Lonchura striata: one gene and its partner. Each later gene encodes a partner of the first gene's protein in a complex. Links are inferred from orthologs where the notes say so. Each region holds a gene or a part of one and is shown in the gene's direction. Other genes may lie near its edges.

Evidence for each region.
Region 2: the proteins of CAPZA2 (region 1) and S100A1 are in contact, whole or in part, in an NMR structure (PDB 2KBM), measured with the Rattus norvegicus proteins. The link is inferred for Lonchura striata from reciprocal best matches to the Homo sapiens genes CAPZA2 and S100A1. Residues at the interface, in NP_001009180.1 of Rattus norvegicus: Thr267, Lys268, Ile269, Asp270, Trp271, Asn272, Lys273, Ile274, Leu275, Ser276; in NP_001007637.1 of Rattus norvegicus: Ser44, Phe45, Leu46, Asp47, Lys50, Asp51, Ala54, Lys57, Ile58, Glu61, Leu78, Ala81, Leu82, Thr83, Ala85, Cys86.

Annotation. Positions count from the first base shown.
Region 1 is NC_134607.1:34,493,616-34,502,898, reverse strand, and holds the start of CAPZA2 (F-actin-capping protein subunit alpha-2), read left to right. Parts: upstream 1-5,389; 5' UTR 5,390-6,176; coding exon 6,177-6,278; intron 6,279-9,283. UniProt on the Homo sapiens protein: F-actin-capping proteins bind in a Ca(2+)-independent manner to the fast growing ends of actin filaments (barbed end) thereby blocking the exchange of subunits at these ends.
Region 2 is NC_134635.1:3,149,876-3,158,810, reverse strand, and holds S100A1 (protein S100-A1), read left to right. Parts: upstream 1-5,166; 5' UTR 5,167-5,377; intron 5,378-7,039; 5' UTR 7,040-7,047; coding exon 7,048-7,188; intron 7,189-7,287; coding exon 7,288-7,431; 3' UTR 7,432-7,434; downstream 7,435-8,935. Other genes in the region: S100A14 (protein S100-A14), read right to left, coding at 725-757; S100A13 (protein S100-A13), read right to left, coding at 1,806-1,940, 2,092-2,271. UniProt on the Homo sapiens protein: Small calcium binding protein that plays important roles in several biological processes such as Ca(2+) homeostasis, chondrocyte biology and cardiomyocyte regulation.

The DNA of each region.
Region 1 (9,283 bases):
AGTTTATGCCAGTAAAATGAATCTCTCGCCTCTAATGTTGTCTTTAGAGCATAATACATTGGAAGCAGATTACAGTTACGTATACAAGCCCACCAATGTGAAAGGCTCAGGTACTTTTCTCAATGCAAATATAAACCTTTTTCCTAAAACTGCTTCAAAAGCATTAGCAGAAATTTTGACAGGAAAAAAAAAAGTTACTATTCTAATTTACATGTGTTAAAGCAATTCCTGTGCTCTACATCATTCATTTTGACTTTCAGAATTGTGTTAAATAAAACTTGGAGACTGTAGATAAGTAGGAGGTGCATTTGAATAACATTTTTGGGTATAATTGCACTGTAATCTATAAAGTAAACTTTAAGTCTTGCAAGTATCCTTGATAACATTTTGATGAAATTCTTTAGTAAGAATGAGGAAGTTAGGAGTGCTTTTCAGAGACTGACATGTAATTTTTAATGTTGGAGGCCTTCCAACATTTAAGATTTTTATGTCCATCTCAGGATATACATGAAAATGTGTGTAAAGATAGTATGTTGTCTTGAGTTAGGTTTTTTTTTTTTTTAACTAAAAATACACCAATACCATTGAGATTGAAGGACAGATATTTGAATCACTTCCTTGGGAAACCATTAAACACTGTCTGAAGAAGGGATCATATATTGTATGTGTTACTGCAAATAATTACTTGGTTTGCTTCTACACTCATACTGTCTGGAAGAAATTTCTGAAGGTAACTCAAATGCTGGTTAGTCAGAATGGGCTGGCTTAGATAAGGTTGCTTAGGAACTTGCCCTTTGAGTTTTGGGTGTCTCTAGGAACTGAGACTGTACCTCTGGGTGAGGTGTTGCAAGGTTTGTCTAAGCCCACAGTCAAAAACTTAAATGCTGGTTAGTCAGAATGGGCTGGCTTAGATAAGGTTGCTTAGGAACTTGCCCTTTGAGTTTTGGGTGTCTCTAGGAACTGAGACTGTACCTCTGGGTGAGGTGTTGCAAGGTTTGTCTAAGCCCACAGTCAAAAACTTATCCTAATTTATGATTGTTGCAACTTATGTACAGTGCTGCTTGTCTTTTACCATGTACCTCCATAGTGAATTACTGTGCAAAGCAAATTGTTTGTCGTTTTGACAAGTGAAAAGTAATTACTTGCAGCTTGAATACAAATGAAACCTGTTATTATAAATAAAAGATCAGTGATTTCTAAGATTTCAGGTCATATATTTTTCCTTAGTACTAGTTTGAAGAAATCAGGTACCCTGTGGGAATTTTGACTTCTACCATGTTGAGGAGTATTGGGTATTGATAATGTAGTGGCGCCTGAGGACCATCAGGTCTCCTTCTTGCTGTCTTTGTACTCTCAAAACTTCTTGCAGAAGCTTGCTACCTAGGAAACCTCATAGCTCAAGTAGATAAGAGAAACAAATTGAAGCAAAAATAGAGTAATAGGACAAGTTATTGGCAAATACAGAGATGAAACTGGAGACATTACTTTATGATATAATAGGTATGGTTCTACCTTCTACCAATAGTCTTCAACCTGCAGTTCTGCTGTGAAATTCTATTTTCAGTTGGTTTCAATTATGGCAGTCAAAAAGGAACAGGAAAAGGGTTTTAGCTGTATTATTTAGCAAACCCATATATTTTTTACAGCCCTGTATACTATTCATTTTCAGGCTCTGGAAGTGGGATGTAAAGGAGTTTAAAGTGCTTGTTGAGAAATGAAAGCAGGCTTTTGAGCATGCAGCAATTAACTTTTTTAATCCTTGAGTAACAAATTTCTGAAATGTAAAATACTTCCAGTACTTTCTTAGCTTGACAGAAGGCATTAAAACCTTGAATAGGTAACTTAGAGAGAGAATTGTAAGACGCTGGAATTGGCAGGGGCAGACAACAGTTACAGTGGTATCATATTCTATCCATTTTCAGCAAGGTCTGTTACGTTCCTTTTCTCTCGCCACAGCTATTGAATCTGTGGGCTTAATGTCCTTGGAGTATCTCAGTGTAGGAAGAAGAATCACTTTAAAAGCTTGGGCTTTGTAGTAGAAGAATATTTTGCAAATATGGACCAAGTGCTTTTTAGCTTACGGTGGATACCACTTTGTAAAGACTGATGAGAAAGAGAGGCCTTGATGCTGCAACTGAGGATCATGTGTGTTCATGTCCGTGTAACAGGACATCTTGGATTTTTATGTGGAGATGACACTGTTGGTTTCTTTGTGAAGTCTTAGTTAGTAATTTCTTTTACCATGTACATCTCAAATAAAACTTAATGCTTCTGCTTTTCATGAAATGTAAAATTTTACTACTTTTTCAGTGAATGACAGCAAGGAAATAATTTTTTTGCAAGGAAGTAATTTTTTTTATGTTGTTTATCTGTTGTCTGTCTGGTCCATAAGCTTAAGTATGCAGTTGCTTGACTACAATTGTGTATATATATATATATAATTATAAATAGTTGTATAGAAATACATACATTATAAAAATATATATAAATAGCTGTGTATAAATATCTATATAATAAAAGGTTTCCAATTTTATATGCTTAGGAGTAATAAGAATAACTACAGAATAACATGGGGGAGATTCGTCTTCTCTTACTTTTTTATGGTTAGTCTTGTGTATTACTCAAATAACATCCTTTGCTTTCATATTCTTTTTTGCTATCTGTGGCTGACGCACCAACTTACAGGAGTTTGGGTTTTTTAAAATTTTCCTAATATGATGTGGTGTGTAAAGTGATTTTAAGATAGAGACTTTTATGATATTTAGATACTCTTCCGCTGAAAGGTCCTACAGTGAAGCATCCACCACCTTTCAAAGTGGTTATTTTTGTGAAAATAGATCTCATTATTGAAGTCAGATCATCAGGTAAGAATGAAGCTAAATTATCACACATTGTGTAAGATTTATTTTTTGCAGCACTGTGAAGGGCTGGTACCGTTACATATTCTTAAATACTTGTGTATTGAAAACATTTGGGGCAAACACATGTTCTCCAGATGCAGTGTAGCTTTAGGCATTACAGTTAAGGAAATGTCTGTTCAATCAAAGCCATAGGTATGGAATGTGCCCCTCCTTTCCTGTGCCACAGAACCACATTTTTACAGTGTTTTTCCTTAGCTCTTCTAGAAGCAGAAGTGAACTGGTTACTGCAGTGAATTTTCAGTTGAGCTTGGTAGGAAGGCAGTTGCAGCACTACATTTATATTCATTCCCTCTCTACCAGAGTCGTTGCCTTTGTTCCATGTTTATGTGAAATGATGCATGTTTTGGGATGCTGTTTTGCTGTTTGAAGTTATACCTGTGGGTATGGTGAGGTTTATGAGATACAGTGAAGGCAGTTTGCTGCTGACATGGGGTAATTACTTTCTCACAGTTTAATTCTCGGAGCTTGTCCAGCTGTTTGAAGGCTTTTTAGCCTCACTAAACTGTCAACAGCAGGAAGCAATAATAATTATTTAAAGCTCTTTTTTAGCTAAATTGGTTGTTATCTTCTTGCCACCTTCCTTTAGCTAGATCAATTTGCTTGTCTGAATACTCACAGAAATAGATGAGCACTGATGATACATAGGAGTTTGTAAAAATAGTGGTGTAACATTCTGGGAAGTATCTAACCTAAAGATTTAATGAGCAATTGGAGCCAGTACTACCGAATATCTGGCTCTCCAAAGGGGAAGCCAGTTACATTTTCTTGAAACACCAAAAGGTTTACAAAGTCAAAAACTATGTTGATGTTTGGCTACAGCACCAAACATTGTATCCTGCAAATATTTGAACCTTAGACTGTGCTCCTTGATGTGTTTTATTGTCAATGCAAAATTCATTTCGAGTGGTAGATGTCAGAGAAGTTTTGCTTTATAAGGAAAAATAAAGCTGCATATTGAAAAATAATGTTACAGCTCAAGCTGAACTCAAATCACAAGTTTGTTTGAATGAAACTCAGAACTAAGTAAAACTAGGTAAGTGTTATGTCCAGTATCACTTCAGTGAGTACAGTCTGTATCGCTTAATTTGAGTGTGACTTACAGACTTGAGAGAATACAAATTTGCCTCATTTAACTGATGTCTGTGTTAATATTTATTTATGTGACTATGAGCTAATTGTGAGAAAACCCTGTAGCTAATTTAATTGGGACAGGACAAACCCATTTGTTTAGTTGCCTGCAGACAGGTTTTTAACAAGAACTATACAGAAGGCATGACTGAGAGCAGAGCTCTCTAGTCTCTGCTAGAGAGAGATGTGATGTGATATCTCAGTATCTTTTTTTTGCCAAACACAGGTTTCTCTGAGTGGGAGATTTATTGTATGCTGTAAGATAGCTAGGGTACCCTCAGGAATCCTGAATGCAAATGCATGATATACAATGCTTTGAGCCTGCTGTAACAGTAATAAAAGTAACTTTGAGAAGCTATTTTTATTCCCCTGTGATTAACAACAAAGTTGTCTTTGAGTGGGAATTATTGTGGGAATCTTTTGCATGCCCTCTCTCTTCTTACTTTCTCTTAGGTAAAAAGGGGTTTTTAGTATCTATTTCACTATTTCATTTTTACTGCTGTGGAGCAGTGAACTTTAACCTATTAGGAGTGTAAAGGAAGGGGTGGGTCTCCCTCCTGCAACGAGTTCACAGCTGAATTTCTGAATTTGAAATAGGGGATATATAGGAAAGAATAAGGGTGAGTATATGGTTTCACAGTATCCTACTTATCAGCATGTTTTTTCTGTGCAGCATGGATGTTGATTGAAGGAGTGAGCTGTCAGGGTGCCTAACAAACAAAACTCTGAAATACCTGTCCTTCAGTTGAGTTAAAAAGGGGGAAAGAAAAATGAAAGAGGGAGAGTTTTAATGTCTCTGTTACTGTTAGATGCACCCTAGCAGAGTCCAAGGAGTGAGCTGCCTTGGCAGGGCTGACAGTGGCACTGAGAAGCCCTGCAGTGGGAACACTTCTCCTTGACCATATATAGGCACATACAGCACACAAGGTCGGGCTTCTCCAACCAGTGTCACTTCTCATGTGGCAGGAACAGGAAGAGTGATCTCGGAGCATTTGAAGCCACTATCTATAACTTCTTAAAAATAAAATAAACTTCAGAATGTCTTAGGCTGGAAAAGATAGAGTAGGATTTCTCTCATGTACCTGATGGGTATCATGCATTGAGAAAAATTAAATTGTGAAGTAAAGGCAGAAGTATGGAAAAAAATAGATTTAGAATAACTGCCACTATTCTATACATTACTACGTTGCTCTTTGCTAGGGTAGTCTGAAAACTACAAATATTGTTGTAACTGAGTGTAGGAATTTGTTGCTAGACCAACTGTTTTAATCCCTAGCAGAATAAAGAATTAGGCATAATGCCTAATATTCATCACATACATCAATCCTGTCCTTTTCTCTTTTGCTAGGCTTCTCTGTACGAATTTTTACCTTAATTGACATAGTTTACTTTATAAAATCAATATGCTTGTAGATTTGATAAACTTTTAACTGATGTAATGGGGTAGCATTTGACTTCACTTGAATTGTGGAAGTAAACCATTGGTGATCAGATGTTCTGGGTTAGTGAAGTCTGAAGTTTATAGTTCCTTGCTACTCTGAAGACCTGAAGCTGAAAACTGACTCAAATCTACATCAATAAAACACTATCTTAAACTTTAGGTAGTGTTTTGGGAGTAACTACAGTAATAAGTGGAGAAACTTCAGGTGTTTTATGTCTTCGAGTTTTCTAAAGGAAGACTCAACTGTAGCAATTTTTTGTTACTTGCTGATACATACCTAAGTTTCTTGTACTATGTGTAAGGGTGAAGTACTCTTGAATGGAAAAACGTTTTGTCGTTTGGATTCTTAAGATATTATGATGTTTCTGTTTTGGCTTGCTCAAATCAATTTTTAGACACCTCGGCGCATTGAATAATCAGCATTGGTTGTAAATGCACCTGATCGGTTTTCTTAAAATTATTTTCAGCAGATACAACTTCCTATCTCAGTTTGACTAAAGAGCAGTTTAACTTTTTGCTTGTCACTTTATATTACAGGTTATGTGCATTTTTAATTTATCTTTTTTTAGTTGCCTGTGAACATCATATTTTATACAGAGTGCCCCTTTGTTTTAATTGTGCTTTCCCAAGTGATAGCTGAGGCTTTTTGCTGCCAAAAGGGGGAGATCTTAATCTCATAGAGGCTTATGGAGGTACATTCATTTATCCTTCAGTATCAGTCTGGGTTTGAAAAACAGAAGCCTCCTTTAGAGCATTTATTTCTGCAAAAATTCAGTGGCAATATATCTGTAACTGCTTTTCAATTCTAATGTGTTAAGTGAGACTACTGGATTTAATTCTTTTATATGGGCTTTCTGTATGTATGAATTGGGGAAATAATGGCTTTATCAGATACTCATCACAGAGAAGTTAATTCAGTTTAACTGCTGAAGGAAAATGGGATTACTTTTAAATTGGCTTTACAAAGGCAGGTTAGCAAAATACAGTGTCTTAGCTGATACACTCTCAACTTCTGAAAACACATTAGATTTTTTTGCTTTTGTAAACATGAATATACTTTATACTTGATGAGGTATTCATTGCAAATGTGCATGATTGTCTATCTGTTCTATAAAATGTTTCATCTATGATGAATTTTCACACAAAAAACTATCAGTGAGAAATTTAATTTACTTGTAAAATGTTTGTAAAAAGTAATGTCTAGGTTGGTCTGTCGTGAGGACATCTGAATGCTTTTGAATTAATATTACTTATAGTGTAGCTAATTTTATAAGAATCGTTTTTACTGATAGTGAAAAAAATAAGCAAAACCAGATCTATATTACCAAAACAGCTGAAAATGAGGTAGTGCTCCAGTTTTAGTATAGACCCAATGTCTCACCTTACAGGTGTTACCAGTTTAAAGCATGTGGCCATTCAGGGTGCAGTTTGGGCACCCATGTTTTGCTTAATTTTGCTTCTATAGCTGCTGCCTGCCTAAAACTTATGGACCTGTTATTTCACAACTCCAGATGTCTATAAGTCTTGTTTCTCTGCTTGCCCAGAGCTAACCTGGCCTTGGCAGGGGTAAGCAGTCCTGTTCACATGAAGTCAATGAATCAAGAAATGCTGTTCCTTCATCTTGAGCTGGGAGTCAGCCCACTGATAGTCATGCTGAAATCACACAACTAAATACTCGCTTTTCAGGGCTGATCCAGGACCCTATTAATTGGTGTAATGGTTTAACCCCAGGCATGCCACTAAGCCCCACACAGCCACTCAGTCAGTGCCCCACCAGTGGGATTGGGGAGAGAATTGGAAGGGTAAAAGTAGGAAAACTCATGGGTTGAGGTAAATATAATTTAAGAAGGAAAGCAAAAGTTGTGCATGCAAGCAAAGCTAAATAGGGAATTAATTCAGTATTTCCCATGGGCAGGCAGCTATTCAGCCATCTGTAGGAGAACAGAGTCCCCCATAACATGTAATGGTGACTTGGGAAGTCAAATGTCATCACTCCAAAAATCTCCCACCCTTCCTCCTTCTTCCCCCACTTTATATACTGGGTATGATTTGGTGTGGTGTGGAATATCCCTTGGTCAGTCAGGGTCACCTGCTCTGGCTGTGTGTCCTCCCAGTCTCCCACACACCCCCAGCTTCCTTGCCAGTGTGTCAGTATGAACAGCAGAAAAGGCCTTGGCTGTGTAAGCCCTGCTCAGCAGCAGCACAAACAGCTGTGATCAACACTGTGTTCAGCACAAATCCAAAACACAGTCTTCTACCAGCAACTGTTACGAGAATTAGTTCTGCCCCAACCAAAAGCAGCATTATTGGTCATTTGATAAAATGCACTGGTGATAGAACCTTGGAGCCTGTCTTACCCTTGTTCTTTGTAAGTGCTTTAATAATATATAGGTTAGCTTTGTTTTGCATTCTTTATATTGCTTTGGCTTGAGCATTGAGCTGTGTGTGGTGCCTTGACTTCAGCAAGAGGTACCAGGAGTGTGGGGATTGGTGATTAAGATAATGTGTGTAACGCAGATAAGTTTGCATTCTTCTAATTCAAAGGAGCTGATCTAAGTTGCTTTAATAAGCAGCCATAGAAGAAGGTCCTCTTGCCTCTCTGTGTCTTTTTTGAAGAGTGAACTTTGTGGCATTTATCTCAGTATAATGCAAATTCATGTTTACATGGAAGAGGAGTTGGTAGGAGTAAAGAGGAGATGGTAGGTACTTGAGGAAGCAGACAAATGCTGCCTGCAATCCAAAATGCAACATTTAGGTTAGAAAGTTGGGAACTGACAACTTTTCCATTATCCAGCTCTGAATAGTTGTGTTCTGTTAATGATCTGAAAGCTGCCTGGGCTGGTCACTTGGGATCTCATGAAGGTTCAACACTGCCAATGAGGCAGCTAAGTGCTCTCCCAGGACATTTTAACTTGAACCACCTCTCCTGGAGACCCTTGTCTGAAATCTGGGCCATGTCAAGAAGCAGGGGCCCAAACAGTGACTATATTGCTACCCTCAGTTGTGAAAGCTGTTTTCTTGTCAGTTCAAGAGCTCTAGCATGCTCAGAGAATTTCTTTTGTAGTTTCAAATGCAAAGAAATGTGTAAATGTGTTCTTTGGTTATTTTTAGATATTTTTCATTAAATGCGTGCTTCTTAAACACCCTAATTTCAAACAGTGCTCCCAAGCACTAAATCTTCCAGCTTTTCATTCCATAGATACATCATAGAAGTTGTTGGAAAGGGAAACTCTGGTAGTATCCTGTATTTGAATAATGACACCATATTGAGGATGCAAGAGAGCTTTAAGTGTCTGGTGAACTTGGATAATTGTAAAGGATAGGAATTTTTGCCAAATTAAGTTAGGGAACCAATATTTAGTTTGTTTTTATAATGGGTGCCTTTAACAGTTCAAGGAGGAAAAAGATTGAATCAAAGTGACATTCTGCAAGTAAGGTAATAGTTGAGAAGTTTAAGGGTTGTTTCACATTTTAAAAGTATTTTTGTGGGTTTTTTGCAAGCACATGTGTGGAGCTGTGTAGTGAACCAGCTCAGGGACCTGAGCAATAACTTACCTGATTTTGCTCATTGTGCTGTTGTACAAGGGCTTGTGCAAGCAGGAGAGAGGAAGCCAGGACAGGTGTGCCTACTTTCAGTGAAAATAGTGGCTTATGCCATGTTTGCTCTGCAAGAAGTTGTGGCTGAAGGCCATTAATTACTAATTAAGATCTCAAGAGTTTTTTTAAGCTTTATCTGCTGGTACTGTGGTACTAAGAGGTCCTAGGTAGATGCAGGTGAAATTATGAGCTTTAG
Region 2 (8,935 bases), on another chromosome or scaffold:
GTCTGTCGCCACCCCCGGCGCGGGCCCGTCCCGACTGGTTCTTCCTCTCCTCCGCACGGGTGGCGGTGGCAGCGTGAGTCAGTGCCCGCCGTGCCGCCGGCCTGGGGCTCCCGGAGCCCCTCTGCCACCCCCAGAGCCCGTGCCCGACGGGGCGGGGGGCGCAGAGCAGCCCGACCCCGCTCCCGGTAGCTCCCGGCCGCTCCCGGTAGCTCCCGGCCGCTCGTGCGGCTCCGTTTAAGGGAAAAGACGGTGATTCACTCAAATCTGCGGCTTCCCCTCGGAACGCCGTGCAACCACAGCCGGTGATGCCCACTGGGCAGAGCCTGGCAACCTCCAGAGCCTCAGCCCGGCGCCCCAAATCCTCCACAGGTGCCAGGCGCGGCGCGGTGGGCGCGTCCCGTTTGGAAGCCGAGGAGAGCAGGAGCTCGGCCGCCTTCGGGCATCCTCGGAGGGGCTGCGAGGAGCGCGGGCGGCTGCCCAAGGTCCATCCGCGGGAGCAGACGGAGCTCCTGCTTCCCCGGGCTTCCAAGCGGCTCCGCAGCGGCCGTGCCCGGCGCTGCCGAACCCCAGAGCTGCCGAACCCCGGCTCCTCCGGGGCGCCCCGATTGACGCCGCGCCCCGCGCCCCGGGGCCGTGCGGGGTCACCCCCGCCCCGCCGGGGGTCCCGGTGCCGCGGTGTCCCCGGTGCCGCGGTGTTCCCGGTGCCGCGGCGTCCCCGCCGCACCTTGCGCTTCTTGCGGCAGTTGCACTGGCCCATCCTGCTGCTCGCGGCTCCTCGGGGGTCTCTCCCTCTCTCTCCGGGGGTCTCTCCTCTGCCGCGGGGTCCGGGGGAGCTGGCGGGGCAAGGAAGCCAAGCTCAGCTCTCGGCTCGGGGGGAGCTTCGCCTCCTCCAGCGCCAGGACTCCTCCTCATCCCCGAGCGGAGGGCGAGGAGGGAGCCCCGGGATGCGGCGCCGGAGCTGCCGGGACACGTCCCCGGCGTCCTCGCAAGTCGTGGCAGGGCCGAGCGTGGGAGCGGAGGGGCCCGCGGGGGGAGCAGCCCCCCGTGCCGTGGGGCGGCCGGGCCACTTACCTGCAGCACGGCTGTCCCGGGTGTGCGCGGGCTGCGGCGGGCCGGGGTTTTATACCGGGGAGGTGTGAGTGGGAGCTCCGTGGTGCAAGGCGTCTCATTTGGGAGCCTGGCCCGGCGCCAGCGTGGGGCCGGGAAACGCCTCCTTCCCGGCCACACTGACGGTTCCCCATCCGAGCGGGCCGTGGGAACGGCACCGGGCCCGGCTGCTCGCCCAGAGCGGGATTCCAGCAGCCAGCAGCGCCGGGATTCGGGAGCTGAGCGCTGCGAGCGGGGACATTCCCCGGCCGGGATGCGCTGGTGGATGTGTCACCCCCCGCCACCCAAGACCCTGCAGAGGACGGCGCTGATGCCACGGAGCTGGCGGCCACCGTGGCCAGCGCGGCATCGCTGCCGGGGATCTCCCGAGCCCCACCCCGGCCACAGCCACGGCTCTGCCCCCCACGCACCCCCCAGCGTGGCAGGAAGGTGTTTGTGGGGCGCAGGGTGGCACCCCAAAAGCCAGACCAGCGCAAGGGCAATTTGGGAATGGCCCCGTCCATCCCGGGGTGCCCAGAGCCACGGAGTGACCCCAAGCCAGCACGCCTGGGCTGGGCCGGCCCCAGCGTGGCCACCACGGGGGAGGAGGAGATGGGGGCTCAAATCAGGAGCCCCCCACCAAGAACAGCAGCGATGCTCAGGCTCAGGGAAACCTCTTTTATTTGCCGCACGTCGGCCGAGTCCCCGCAGCGGCCCCGTCACTTCTTCCCCGCTTTGTCCCTCCGCACGGCCTTGGCCAGCTCCCCGATCAGCCGCCAGTACTCCCCAAATCTCAGCTCCTCGTCGTTGTTCACGTCCAGCTCGCTCATCTTCTCCTCCAGCGAGGGCACGTCCTGCGGGCAGCACCCGCCAGGGAGGCTCGGCCGCTCGCCAGCCCCCAGAGAGCGGGACGGGCACGACTGCAAACCCCCGGGGCACCGGGAGCAGCCCCACGGGTCAGGGGGACCCCCGGGGACCCCGCGCTGCTGCTGCGGCTCCCCTCACCTTCATCAGGTTGGGCAGCTGGAGCCGCACCAGCTCCTTGAACTCGCCGGCCGTCAGCGTCCCCTTCCTGCCCTCCTTGGCGGCGAAGGTGACGAACACGGTGACGATGCGCTCGATGGCCGCCTCCAGCTCGGTCAGCTCGCTCGGCTCGCTCGGCTCGGGCAGCTCGGCCGCGGCCATGGCACCGGACACGCCGCTAGCCCGGGGCTGCAGGGACAGGAGCCCAGAGGCGGTGGGAGGCAGAGGGGTGTCCCAAGGGGAGACCCTCGCCCCCTCCCCAGCCCAGCGAAGGCTCAGCTCAGCCCCGAGGGTCCCGGGGCTTGTGCAGGACTCGGCGAGGGGCAGCGGGTCCCGGGGATGACGCCGCTGCCGCCCGATCCCGGAGCGGGGACACGGGGAGGGGACAGCGGGACATCAGCGGTCCCCAGCGGCGCGGCCGCGGCCGGGGTGCGGCCGGAGCTGCGGAGAGCGATGCCCACTTACCCCCTGGCTGCGGGCAGCTGGTGGCCCCCGGGAGGTTTCGAGGGGTTCGGGAGGTCTGGGGCGTTCTCAGGAGGTTTTATAGCCGCGCCGCAGGAGGGGACAGTGGGGACAGCGCAGCCTTTGTCCCCCCCGCGCCGGTGTTGGGTTTCCTGGCGCGGCCGGACGGACGCGCAGTCACCGCCCGGGCGCCGCCGTCCGTCCGTCCGTCCGTCCGTCCGTCCCGCCGTCCTCTGCTCCCTCCCCGCCCGGGCACAGGACCAAGCTCGGCCTGAGCTCGCTGCGGCCTCGGCCCGGGCACCTCCGGTGGGGACAGGAGGGGACCGCGGGCAGAGAACGGCCCCGGGGCTGGAGCATCACCGCGACCTTGCACAGAAACACCCCCGGGATCGTTTTGGTTGGAAAAGACCCCCGAGATGATTGAATCCAAACTTTGAGCCCCGTTCCGGGGGTGCAGGGCAGGTGTCACCCCCAGCTCCCTCCCTGCAGGGCTGGGGACAAGGAGGTGTCCCCGGAGCCCCGGTCACATTCCGGTGACATCCCTGTCACATCCCGGCTCCGGCAGCGTCACCGAGCCAGGGCCCGGCTCGGCCCGCACCGAGTGAGAGTTGTGACTCAGCCGCCTGTGACATCATCCCTATTAATAGTGGGCTCTGTAAAAATTAATTAATCCCAATTAATTAGGGTGTTGGAATGGCCCGAGTGCTCCCCTTTAGTTAGTGGCTGTTTCTAACATGGCTGGGGACACCGAGCAGCTCCCGGGGGCACCCCCCTTCCCACGGGGACCCCAAGGGGACCCCGGACACAGCCTCAGGACTGTCCCCGACGTCCCCAGCCTCACCCACGGCTGTGACAAACAGCAAGGCTGCAGCCAGCAGCCCCCCGGGGCAGCACGCGGGAATTTGGGGTGCCAAAGCCCCCGCGGTGTTTTGGGGGCCGAGGGCACGGGGGTCCCCGGCACAGCGTCACCGTCACCGGCCCGGTCTGTGCCGAGCCCTGAGGCAGCAGTAGGGATGGGGTGGCCCTGTCCCCACCCCGCAGCCGTCACACCAGCTCACGGGGCAGGAATTGGCTTCCTGCAGCCCCATCCGGCCCCGGGGTGACCGGGGGACGGGGCTGGGATGTTCACCGAGCCCCACGTCAGGGCCCGGGATGGCCTCTTGGGAAAGCGGCAGGTGAGTCAGGCCCGGCAGGGACCGGGACAGGTTTGGGGTGAATCACCGGCCCCGCAGCCAGGCGGGCCCGTGACTCCCTGGCCCTGGAATTCGGGGAGCCGGGATGGGGTGAGGAAGGGGCAGATGCAGCCGTGGCCCCACAGCAGGAGGGACACGGGAAAGGCACCCCCAGGTCTTTAATCAGCCTGGGATCCCCGTTGGGACCGGCCCCATGGGCAGGGGTGCGGACCCGGCCTCGGGGACCCCAGCATGGCGAGGAGGGACCATGGAGGGGCTGAGAGTGGGAGCAGAGAGGGACTGGGACCATAACGGGGCTGAGAGTGGGAGCAGAGAGGGACTGGGACCATAACGGGGCTGAGAGTGGGAGCAGAGAGGGACTGGGACCATAACGGGGCTGAGAGTGGGAGCAGAGAGGAACTGGGACCATAACGGGGCTGAGAGTGGGAGCAGAGAGGGACTGGGACCATAACGGGGCTGAGAGTGGGAGCAGAGAGGGACTGGGACCATAACGGGGCTGAGAGTGGGAGCAGAGAGGGACTGGGACCATAACGGGGCTGAGAGTGGGAGCAGAGAGGGACTGGGACCATGGAGGGACTGAGGCCATGTAGGGACAGCGATGGGGGCCATATAGGGTCAGGGACCGTGTGGGAACTTGGACCATATAGGGACAGGACCATATAGGGACTTGGGCCATATAGGGACAGGACTTGGGCCATATAAGGACAGGATCATATAGGAACTCGAGCCATACAGGGTCAGGGACAGAACCATATAAGGACTTGGGCCATATAGGGACAGGAATGGGATCGTACAGGGACTTGGGCTATACAGGAATAGGAATGGGATCATTCGGGACTCGGGCCATATAGGACCACAGGACCCCGTGTGACAGGGTGACCATGTGCAGGGGCTCAGTGTCCACTTCCACATCCTGGTCCTGGGGTTCTCCACAGCCGGTGTGGCCCCACCAGGGATGGTGACCGTGTCCAGCGCGGTGCCCAGCCCGGCAGTGGCCCCTGCTGGCCCCATCGGGGCTCGCTGCAGGGACCCAGGGGCCGCGGCAGGAGCCCGGAGCCACCGCGGGGTCCCCAGCGCGGCCACCGCAGCTCCTCCCTCTCCAAAGCCTCTTCCAGAGCCCCGGCGATGGGATGGGGAGACAAGATGGGCCCAGCCCAGCACCGGGAACTGGAGCGACTGGTTTAGCTGGGTCAAAGTGGAGCAGGGGAGTCGCAGTGGCTGAAACCTGTTCCAAGCTGTGTGTAAAGCTCCTGGCATGTCCCTCACTGCTCCCGCTTCCCAGAGCTCGTCCTGGGAATCTGCCAGCCGTGCTGGGCGCGCTCTGCCCCGGCCGCAGGGTCCGGGACCCCCCGGGACCCCTCGGGACCCCCCCAGTGCTGGGGTTCGCCCTGGGGCTGCTGTCCCGAAGGGTTTGGGGGTCCCGCTGTCCCTCGGACACTGCGGCCGTGCCGCTGCCCGCAGTCCTGGCCCTGTCCCCTCTGTCCCCTGGCAGGGACCGGGGTCGGGGTTATTTTTGGGCAATGCCCGTCCCTGTCACGAGCAGCTGCTGGCCCGGTGACTCTCCCGGGCGTTCCCGGAATCCTGCCCGCCGCTCGGGGACCGGGACACGGCGAGTGAGTGCCACGGGCCCCTCCCAGTGCCCCCATGCCCAGCCTCGGGATTTGGGGATCCGGCCCCTCCCGGAGCCCCAGGGATGGAGCCGGGTCCTGCTGGGAGGCAGCTCCTGAGCCGCCCTTTGGGATCCCTGCTCCTCTCTGGAACTCGCAATTCCAGCTGGGACCCCTCCTCTGCTTGGGGACCCCCCAGTTTCCCCATTCCCTGGGCGCTGGGGAGGGTGCCCAGGCAGTTTTGGGGTGCCCAGGCAGGGCCCATCCTCAGCCGCAGGGACGGGAAGTGAGGGAGGTGGAAGCAGAGGCAACAGGATGTAATTAGCCCCAAATTAGGGCTGGAACCCGGCATGAGGAGCCCGGCACCACCCGGCCCTGCTGAAAATGCAGCTCCTGTTTGAGGGGGTCCCAATCCTGAGGGAGGCTGAGGGATCTGGGGGCTGAAGCACTTGGGGTTGAGGAATTGGGGTGATCAGGAATCTGGGGGATCAGGAATTCGGGGGATCAGGAATTTGGGGACTGAAGCATTTGGGGGCTGAGGAATTTGGGGGCTGAAGCATTTGAGGGATCAGGAATTTGGGGGATCAGGAATTTGAGGGCTGAGGAATTCGGGGGCTGAGGAATTCGGGAGCTGATCTCCCCGGGGATGCCGGAGCCGGGCAGGCTGCGGGCTCCATCCCGCGCGGATCCGGGGCCGTAACGGGATCCGCGGATTATCAGCATCACCCGGGCCGGCTCGGAGTCCGGTTTCCTGGCCGAGGCGTTGCTGCAGCAACGCCGGGCTCGGGATTGTGGGGCCTTTTCAGCCGGACAAGAGTCCTTTGAGCGCGGGGGGCCCCCGCGGAGTCACCCGATAGCCCCCGCCGCTCCCCCCGGGCCCCGCCGGCCCCGCGGCCGCTCCGAGGACACCGGATCCCTTCATCGGCCCCGGGAGCGGGGCTGGCCGCGGCCCCGGCCCCGCGGCGCTGACGGACGGGGGATGCCGGCGGTGCCCCCGCGGGGTCACGGCGTGGCCACCGCGGCCACCGGCGGGGGCGCCGGGCACTGAGCCCGGCGGGGGACCCCGGTGCCCGTGCCGGTGCCCGTGCCGGTGCCGGTGCCGGTGCCAGTGCCCGTGCCCGTGCCCATGCCGGTGCCGGTGCCGGTGCCCGTGCCGGTGCCCGTGCCCATGCCGGTGCCCGTGCCGGTGCCCGTGCCGGTGCCCGTGCCCGTGCCGGTGCCCGTGCCCGTGCCGGCCCTCCCTACATCCCCGGTTTTTCCACATCCCGGGGGCGGCGAGGGGCGCTCGGGGGTGGCACGGGGAGCCCCCCTGAAGTGGGGCTGTCTCCCCAGCCGTGTCCCCGGGGCCAGGCCGGGGTTGTGCCCCCCACGCCCGGCCCCGCGGGGCTGGCCGGCGGTGCCAGCCGGGCTGCCCAGCCCCGGTATCGGATCCTCCCGGAGGGAGGGGGCTTGGAGCTTATTTAACGGGCCCGGCCGGGCCGGGCGGGCGCACTCGGAGCACGGGGAGCTCAGGTGAGCACAGGTGTCCCCGTCCCCCCCAAACCTCCCCGCCCAGCCCCTGGGAACCCCCCCAGTCCTGCCCAGGGGGACCGCGGCCGCGGGTGGGTGACATGTGGGGGTGGCACCGAGACGGGGGGGCCGGTGGGTGACGTGCTGGGGGTCCCGCAGCCACAGCCATGGGATCGCAGCTGGAAGGGGCCATGGAGACCCTGATCAATGTGTTCCACCACTACTCGGGCAAGGAGGGGGACAAGTACAAGCTGAGCAAGAAGGAGCTCAAGGAGCTGCTGCAGAGCGAGCTGGGATGTTTCCTGGAGGTAACTGGGACCAGTTTGGGGTGCGGGGGTCTCCCTTTCCCCGTTCCCCGGGGGAACAGCGGCTGCCCAGCCCCAGGGCTCACCCTGTGTCCCCCCCAGACCCAGAAGGACGCGGGGGCCGTGGAGAAGATCATGCAGGACCTGGATGAGAACGGCGACGGGGAGGTGGATTTCCAGGAATTTGTGGTCCTGGTGGCCGCTCTGACCGTGGCCTGCAACAACTTCTTCTGGGAGAACGCCTGACCCCCCTCCTGCCGCAGCAGGACGTGGGCTCCCAAAATCCAGAGCCCCCCCGCCACCCTCCGGCTCACCCCCTCAGCATTCCCAGGGGATCCCACTGGGATCCAGCTGCACAATAAAGGCACAACCCTGCCCGAGGTGTGTCCGTGTGCGTCAGCTCCTTCCTTCATTCCTGCTCGGGATTCCTGCCCCATCCCCTGGGAATATCCCACTCTGGGCGCACAGGGAAAAGCCAGCCTGGGTCACCCCAGAAGCCTGGAGACAGCCCTGGCTCCACCCCAGGATCCACCCTGGGATCCACCCGGGATCCACCCTGGGATTCACCCTGGGATCCGCCCCGACCGCCCGGGGCAGGGTGACCCCAGGGCGGGGGATCCCGGCCGGTGTCAGGGTGTGGGACACGGGAGCCCCGGGATTTGGGAAGGGGGTGACAGGCCGGGACTCGCTGCCGGTGGCTCCGGAGGCGCCAGCACTGCTCCCGCGGGGCTGGAGGAACCGGTTGGGATCTCCCAGCCCACTGGGATGGGACGGTGGCCAAGGGCCCCACCAGGGCCACCAGCGCCATCATCTGCCCGCCATCCCGGCTTGGGATCGGCCCTGCCTGGGTGGGATGGACATCGGGACAGGGGCACGGGACAGGGGTCAAGGAGCAGCTGGGCAGTGCTCCCAGGGACATGGTGGGACACCAGGAGTGTCATGGGCAGGGGACTCCACGGTCCTTACAGACCCCTTCCAACTCCGCAACTCCCTAACGCCTGGATCCTATATGATTCCACAGCTGAGCATTTTGTGATTCCATAATTCCAAGATTCCATGGAGCTGACAGAGGAGCTGATAAAGCTGACACAATTCCGTGGGACGTGGGGATCCCAGCACCGCGTGACTCCGTGACTCCACAGCTCCATGACTCCACGGTTCCTTGACCCCCCTGACTCCCTCATCCCACGGTTCCATGACGGTTCCATGACGGTTCCATGACGGTTTCATGACGTTTCCATGACGTGACCATGACGACACCGCTCTCTATGACGTCACGGGGACTCCACCCCTACTCCCGCCAGAACGTTCCCGCCTCTCCCTCAGCCCCGCCCCTTTCCCCGCCCCCTCCGCCGCTCCACCAATCACCGCCCGGCCCGGGGGGGCTCGCGCGGCGGTGGGCGTGGCCGGGAGCGCGGCCGCCATTTCGGCGGGGGCGGGAGCGGCGCCGGCGCCATTTTGTCGCGGGCGGCTGAGGGAGAAGCGGCAGCGGCGGCGGCGGGCGGAGCTCAGCGCCAGCCCCGGCCCGCGCCGGCCCCACACCGGCCCCGCACTCACTCACCCGCCCGCCCGCCCGCCCGCCTGCTGGCCGAGCCACCGGAGACCTGGCGACCGTGTGCTTCGGTGAGTGACCGGCCCGGCTGCGCGGGGGCGGGGCGCCGGGGGCCGCTCCTGAGGGCCGGGGGGTCCCCTCAGGGCCCCCTCATAGCCCGGAGAGCCCCTCACGGTCGGGGCTTTTCCTCCGGAGCCG